Linked DNA regions of Coturnix japonica. The protein of the gene in region 2 binds, or shares a complex with, the protein of the main gene of each other region. Links are inferred from orthologs where the notes say so. Each region holds a gene or a part of one and is shown on either strand. Other genes may lie near its edges.

Region 1 (3,500 bases), on a different chromosome or scaffold from region 2:
AGAATGCCAGATGTATAACCTTGTACAAGGCCAATAGCTGTACACTGGATCACAGCCAGAGAGAGCTGAAGAACAAGTTTTAGAGGAGGAACATTATGTATTCCAGTCTTATATCACTTCAGATGGCACTGCATAAATGTCATGGCAAAAATCCACTAAGCTTTGGCCTGTAACACAGTATCCTCTCTACATTCAGCACAGTAATAAAAAAAAGTCCCAGAAATCTGGGCTCACATCCCAAATCTCCTTAGTTGTAGAAAATTGCTTGAGACTTTGTGCTTAGAAGTTGTCCTTCTGTGTTGTTCTTATGTCAGGTTGGTGCATATAATGCACTAGCTGTTGTAATGCTACAGAACAGGCGTAGTGAATTCCTTTTCATAATCCTAAGCCAGGTAACTTTCCCAATATCCAACTGTAATGAGCTCTTTCATATCTCATTCATTTTCAGACGGAAAAAAATTAAGTGCATCAGTGCTGCAAACATTCAAACTCTGCTGAGTAAAATTATCAAAACCATCTGCATGACTTATATTGAAAGCTAGATATGAAAGACTGCTTAGGCATGCATAAATTATGCATTTGTCATCATTGATACGTAAGAACGTACAAAACACGGACAAATAGGAAAAACTTCAAAACCTATGAAAAATGGAAAGTGAAACTGAATTATTTAATGGTTCCTCTTCAATCTTAAGCTCTCGGAATCCAACAAGGTTTCTTAAATGAGAAAAGAGATGGAGTTTTGGGCAGGAACTGTTTTTTTCTTATGTTCACTGTATATTTATATTAACAACTACTAAGGTATATTTTAAACATCTTTCTGATTGTTGGGACATCTGAATTAAAATTCAAAGTACCTTAATGTAAGAGCAATCCAATGTGATATGGCAATGTTTCCGCTAACCCATTAGGGAATTCAAAGCTCTTACATGTTAAGTTGTGTTGTATGCATTTGAAGATCTACTAGATGGGAGTAAAATCCCGAGCTGGTGAAAGGTTTGGCAAAATACTGTGTGTAAAAAATAAATAAATAAATAAATGAAAAGACAGCTGTAGTTGCATGGCAACAAGAGTTTGCCATGAAGAAAATGTAATGCTATCAGTACTAACAGAAAATTTCCCATGTTACTGGACTCATGAGTTCCCATTAGCCCCTTCTCTCATACCAATCCCCTCCTTACAGATAAAGGAGGACACAGACTGGCCGTATGGCATCCCGCAGAGATTTGGGGAAGATTTTGTCCATCCAAAGCACTGGGACAACTTTCTCCCTTTGGGTGAAGAGAATTAAACATTTGTGGATTATGCACGTGTAGGCAAGAACTGTAAATGATACTGAGTCAACAGGACAGTTTCTGATACATGCACTGGCATATGGAAAAGATGTGCGTGTTGTACCAGAATTTGGATATTCAGGCAAAACTTTTTCTTGATTAAGAGGCAGCTGGAGTGAAAATACTCACTGGCATTAATTTGTATAGACATTTAATTTTAACTACATTTATCCACAATGAAGAATTATTAAAAACAAACAAACAAACAGAAGCATACAGTCCTGCATTCTTTGCTTATTGCTTCACTGACTATACTTTATCTAATAGAAACCTCCCATATTTATCATAATCCCTCACATATATTTTGCATTTCTAAAGCTGTACTAAGCAGTTGGGACTGATTACAAAAGCAAAAAGAGCACTTCTCAGTGATTTATTTTTTTTTTTTTTTAAATCTGCATTACATTTACTATAAGGAGCAAATGAAATTCACATTTACTTTTAGACACTGTATTTTACTGAATTCTAAACAGCTTCCTCTAACTAGAAAGTGTTCCCAAAGTAACTTTATTATCTGAGTCACCAGTTGAAGCAGCAATATGATGCTTTATGTAGTTCCTTCAGTAGTATATATTTATATTCAGATAAAGAAAATGTAAAACTGAAATAACTCATTTAGACCATTTACTTTCTTGGGAAAATGATACAAAGGATCACCACATACATGGAATAAAATTTTGCTTCACCTTTGGAAGATCTATTAGTAATATCTGATACTAGAAAATGTATCTTTGCAGCTACGTGGACACATCTACAATTATTCTACCAGTGATATGGTCTTGAGTGCACTTTTGGGGTAAAAAAGGAGTATAGGAGGTGCTCTCCTTTTAAAAACCATTAACATTTTTACCATTTTAACAAGCCAAAAACTGACAATCTATTTTAGTGAAAATAAAGGAAAATACTAAATAAATAAGCAAAATTAGGCTCATTGTACAAGGAATCAGGGCTAGAAGCCAGATCTGATGCTATTAATAACACATATGTAATAGTTTACAACATAATAAAATCAGAAACAACCTTTTCTATTATAATTTCTGAGACAAAATTAAAAAGTATTGCTAATATCTTCTAGCATTCATGACTTTCTTTCTCTCACATCTAACTGCCATTCTAGTGTTAGAGAAAAACATGTTGCCTAGCACTTAGTCATTTAGACAGCTGATGCAAGTCTTAAAAACATGACAAAATATATTTCAACTATTTCTGAAATTCCCTGCTACATCAATGGCTTTGTGTTTACCCTTAATTTAAACTTAGTATTTTGGCAGCATTTACTTGCCTTCTCATTAGTGATGTATCAAATGATTTTTCTCCAATCTCTGTACAAAACTACCTGTTTATGTCAGCATGATGGTTTTCATTAATTTTAACAGCAGTGCTAGAGTAACATTAAAGTTAAGTGCAAAAATGCACTTGTAATAATAGCATTTCAAGAGGCACAATGTAGAACTTGCTAAAGAAAAGAAAACAAGCATCTTGTTACTTTCAGGTGAAGGCATTTTACTTCTGTCATTTTTGCTTTGTGCTCCCCTCCCCACCCAGATAACACGAAGTCACAAGGTCATACTACCTGTCATGGCCTGCTGGTCATCCACCATTAACTTTAAACTTTTTCCTCGCCGAACCACACGCACTGTGTGCCACTCATTATCATTGAGGTTATAGCCAGCAAAAAGGGTTTCTGGACCTTTGCCTGTAGGATATGCCAAACAGTCATTATGCAATCTCTAAATCATTTTACACGTGAACCTCACAGAGAGAGAGAAAGAGAGACTGGCTGGGCAAATGTTAAAACTCACCAAAAGTCGTATTAAGCAAGAAAATTAACAAGTATAAGCAATTCTCAAAATATAGAGCTACTATGTTAAAACATTTCTACTCTCAATTTAACTATATAAATGTATTACACACACACAATGATCAGGTTGTCATAAATAGGCACAGTCAACATGGGTTTAGTTAAGCATTTTACAGTCATGAGCAACCCTTTAAGAAAGAGGATTACTGCAGACAGAATGAAAATTTAAGCATAGGTTTAAAACACTGCATTTCTATTCCTTCATTAAAAGTAGCTTGGGGAAAAGGTGTAAGCAGCTAATGTGCATGTGTCAAGATTTTCTTCATCTACACTGGCTCCTCAGCCTACACTTATTCATTGGATGT
Region 2 (3,992 bases):
AAATGAGTTTTAAGAAGCTGCATGTGTGCGAAACTAGTACAGCAGAAATGAGGGCTGCTCCGAAAGTAATGCCTCCTACTTGATTATGTTGGCCCAAAACATCAGAAGCAGATGTTGGTGGTATGGCAGAAGATGTCAAACCTTCCCACTGAAATTCTGCTCCGTTTTGTAGCCATATGACAGATGGCAGCAGAGGGGCACTGTGACACAGTGGCATCTGATGTGGAAGCGCATACAAAGGTGTGTCACTGAATTCTTCCAGGCTGAAAAAAAATGGCACCCACTGACATTCATTGATGCTGAATGTTGATGGAGACCAAGCAGTGGATGTGAGCACAGTGGGGCGGTGGGTGGTGCCTTTCAGCAGTGGTGACAGTGGCAGTGGGTCACCTCTGCTGGTGTGGATTGTTAGGAGCATGACATGCAGGCTCATGTTCATGGCTGTAGAAAATGCATAGCTAGTGGTGCTGAGCATTGAAAAAACAGTGTTTCATAGCTGAGAATTTACTCTAGTAACAAGTAGTGCCATTGTGCTCCTTCTATCTGTAGTGGTTTCCATGCAGACAAATAGGAGACACGACCTTTGCAGAAACCTACACGCTTTGGAAACTGCAACAGCTCCCAACTAATTCAGGCACAGAATCACAGAATCGTAGGGGTTGGAAGGAACCTCTAGAGATCATCGAGTCCAACCCCGCTGCCAAAGCAGGCTCCCTACACCTGAACACAACGCTCTTCTGCAAGGCTTCTAACTCAGAGCTCAGGAAAACAGAATCACAGAATGACCCGGGTTGGAAGGGACCTCATGTAGTTCCAACCCCCAAACAGCCCCAAACGCCAACAGCCCCTCAAAGCTAGGACAAAATCCGCTCTACCCGTCCCCGGACAAAGGCGCAGAGCTCGGGCAGAGGAGCTGTTAGGGCAGGCAGGGCTGCAGGGTGCAGCCGACTGAGGAGCACCCCTCCCCACACCTACAGCCGGCTCAACCCTCCCCACCGCGCTCACTGACAGCCGCCCCGCGGAGCCCCCTCCCGGCGCCATGACGTCATGGCAGTGCGCGCCTGCGCACGCCGCGCCGACCGACCCCTGTGCGTGCCTTTGCGTGACGGCGGCGGGGAGCGCGCGCGCGCCCCCGCCCTCTCTCCGTCCCTCCGTCCCTCCTTCCCTCCCTCCCTCCCCGCGCTGCCAGCGCCTATCGCGGCCGCCGCCGCCTCTTCTCCTCGCGGCTGGGAGCGGAACCGACGGCCGCCTCCCCGCCCCTCCCCCTCCTACTATTATCCTCCCGCACGGTGCGCGCTCCCGTAGCCACCCTCCCCCCCCCTCCATCTCCTCCCCGGTGCCTCGGGAGCGCGCCCGCTCGGCGAGGGAGGGATCGAGCCGGCGCTGCCGCCCGCCACCGCCGCCTATCCCCTCCATGGAGCTCGCGCCGCCCCGCTGAGCCACAGCCGCCCGCCCGCCGCTGCCGCCGGGGAGTAACCGGGGGAGGGAGGAGGGTGGGGGGAGGAAGAGGAGGAAGGTGGGGTCGCGGGGTGCGTGACACGCGCGGCGGCCCGAGGAGCTGAGAGCCCCTGCGGCCGAAGGTTGCGGCTGTTGGCGCTGAGCGGCGGGGGAGCGCGCCGCGCGGCGGGGAGCGTGTGCCCGCGGCCCCCCCCGCTTCCTTCTCCTCCTCCTCCTCCTCCTCCTCCTCCTCCCCCCGCACCCGGGGCCGCCGCCTGACGGGCGGACCATGGCCGACGACGACGTGCTGTTCGAGGACGTGTACGAGCTGTGCGAGGTGATCGGCAAGTGAGTCCCGCGGGGAGGGGGAGGGGGGGGAGAAAGAAAGAAAAAGGAGAGGGGATGGGGGAGAGCGGAGCCCCCCCCCCCCACACACACACACACCCAGCGCGGGGATGGCGTGCCCGGCACCCACCTGAGTCGCGGTGCGGGCAGCCCCGGCGCTGCCCACCGCCCTGAGGTTGGGGGGAAGGGGGGTGGGGGGAAAGGAAGGCGCCCCGGTGCTTCCTCAGCCACCATGATCCCCGCCCGGCCGGCCGCCGCGCAGCCTGGCGCTGCCCAGCCCTCCCGTTCTCCTCCCCATCCCCGGCACACCCATCGGTGGTTGCCTGCTTGAAGAAGGATCGCTGTGGATCCACCTATCGCTCGGGTGGCCGCGCCAGGTGTCGGCTCTCCCCGCGCCTTGGCGCACAATGAGCGGCGTGCTGCCGGCGGTGCCCCTGGCACCCCGTGCTCGCGCGGATCTGCCTTCGCTCCGCTCCCCGGCGGCGTGTGAGGCAGGGGGAGAACTTGGCCTCTCCTGTCTCCTTATGCAACTGTTAATGCGTGTTCGTGTCAAACCTCGGAGGTCGCCGGCGTTTTCTGGCTGCCCGTTTTGGGCCACGCTCCTGTGGGCTGCGTGGAGATGACAGCTCCGTGCGTTACCACACCAAGAAAACGCAGAGCATCCCCCAAATCAGATGGCACCGAACGGGAGCCCAACTCTCTGTATTTTCGTGACCAGCCAGTTTCTAAATCCTATTTTTGTTTTATTTCGTTGCGTTCCACACGCCTCCTATAGTTGTGCTTGGGTTGAGTGAAAGATGTAGCGGTGTTGCTGCTTCTAATTGTCTGCGTGTCTGACTGAGCAGCTGAGATTGCTGTGGGAGCCGCTGCTCTGGGTGCCTGCAGCTCTTTCTTCCTGAGGATGAATTCAATCAGAGCGGCATTCCCCGTGTTTTGATTATAAACAAAGAGTTCTTCTGCATGTATTCTCCCTCCCGCTCCCCTCCAGCGTGCTTCACAGTTTCTATCTGCTGCTGCCTGCTTTGAGAGCTCAGGCTAAAAATATTCTGGAATTAATCTTTCCTGAGGATTATACTAAAATGCTCGTCTTGGACTTAGCAGGTTACTTTGTTGGCAGCTGAAGTTTCAGCACTCTGCTCTGTCGTTTCACACGGTTATTACCACCTTGCCCTGGCCACAAACAACTTTTAAAAATAGGAAGCTTAGAGGGCCTTGCTTGCTGTCATAAGCTGAAAGGGCTTTCGCCAGTTGTTCGTGGGGAGCTTATGTAGCCGAGAAACAAAACAGTGATTATATGTGGTTTGAAGATGGTTTTTGGCATGCTCCTTTCATGAGTGGTTTTAAGCTGACCACTGCAGTTCACGCACTGCTTCCTCAGAGCTGGCTGCCATTGGAAGGAAAGTGAAGTGCTTCTGCTTGACAGGACTATGTGAGCTTATAGAGAATGGCTCATTCGCAGCCATCCAGATGTTGATGCGGCTCCACTGACTTTCGATGTTGTGATCTGAGAATATCAAAGGGATTCAAGGTTCAGAACCTGTGAATTGTGAAGCTTCTTTGGCTGATACCTGAGATTGAATTATTCTGGATGTGTTGTGATGTAACCTGATCTAACAGATAAGTGTTGGATTGTAGGAGCACGGCGCTGCCAAGAGCACTGTAACAGAACAGGGTGGATTACTGAAGCTAGCAGTGGTGGTAGGAAGGGGTTTGCGTATGGATGTTGTGTCCCTCCTCTAATAGGCACAGTTGTATTTGTACAGTTGTATGAGCAGTGTTCCTGTTTCATTGCAGTGCTACTCAGGTGACTTCTGAGCAATCGGGGATGCAGCGTCTTTAATTAGCTTTCACATTTTTGATAGCACCCCGCTCTTCTTTAGGCAACATGGGGAAAGCCTCATGTAAAATCTGCCTTGAGTTGCTACGTATGCATCTGGCTAAACATCTATCAGTGAAACACCAACTAAACGTCTGCACCTTCCCGTGATTTATTATTGATTGATTGAGTAATCTGCTTCTTGCAAATAGCACATCCGGCCCCTGACTTGTGTTTAGGTCCATGAAATATTAAAGCGTGTGATTTATCCTTCCTAAATGGGTAGTTATCGCTGTCATTTAAAGTAGTAAATGGTATTTCCAGAAAGGGTGTGGGAAAGAGATTTTGGACCGTAAAACAACTGAATATTTTGCCTGACTTTGTAAGAGAAATC

Evidence for each region.
Region 1: the proteins of CASK (region 2) and NRXN1 are in contact, whole or in part, in a crystal structure (PDB 6NID), measured with the Homo sapiens proteins. The link is inferred for Coturnix japonica from reciprocal best matches to the Homo sapiens genes CASK and NRXN1. Residues at the interface, in NP_001354650.1 of Homo sapiens: Pro500, Met501, Gly502, Ile503, Thr504, Leu505, Lys506, Ala516, Arg517, Val549, Gln553, Leu556; in NP_001317021.1 of Homo sapiens: Lys468, Glu469, Tyr470, Tyr471, Val472.

Annotation. Positions count from the first base shown.
Region 1 is NC_029518.1:8,514,728-8,518,227, reverse strand, and holds part of NRXN1 (neurexin-1), read right to left. Parts: intron 3,031-3,500; coding exon 2,908-3,030; intron 1-2,907.
Region 2 is NC_029516.1:100,754,559-100,758,550, forward strand, and holds the start of CASK (peripheral plasma membrane protein CASK), read left to right. Parts: upstream 1-1,192; 5' UTR 1,193-1,726; coding exon 1,727-1,785; intron 1,786-1,912; exon of another isoform or gene 1,913-2,061; intron 2,062-3,992. UniProt on the Homo sapiens protein: Multidomain scaffolding Mg(2+)-independent protein kinase that catalyzes the phosphotransfer from ATP to proteins such as NRXN1, and plays a role in synaptic transmembrane protein anchoring and ion channel trafficking.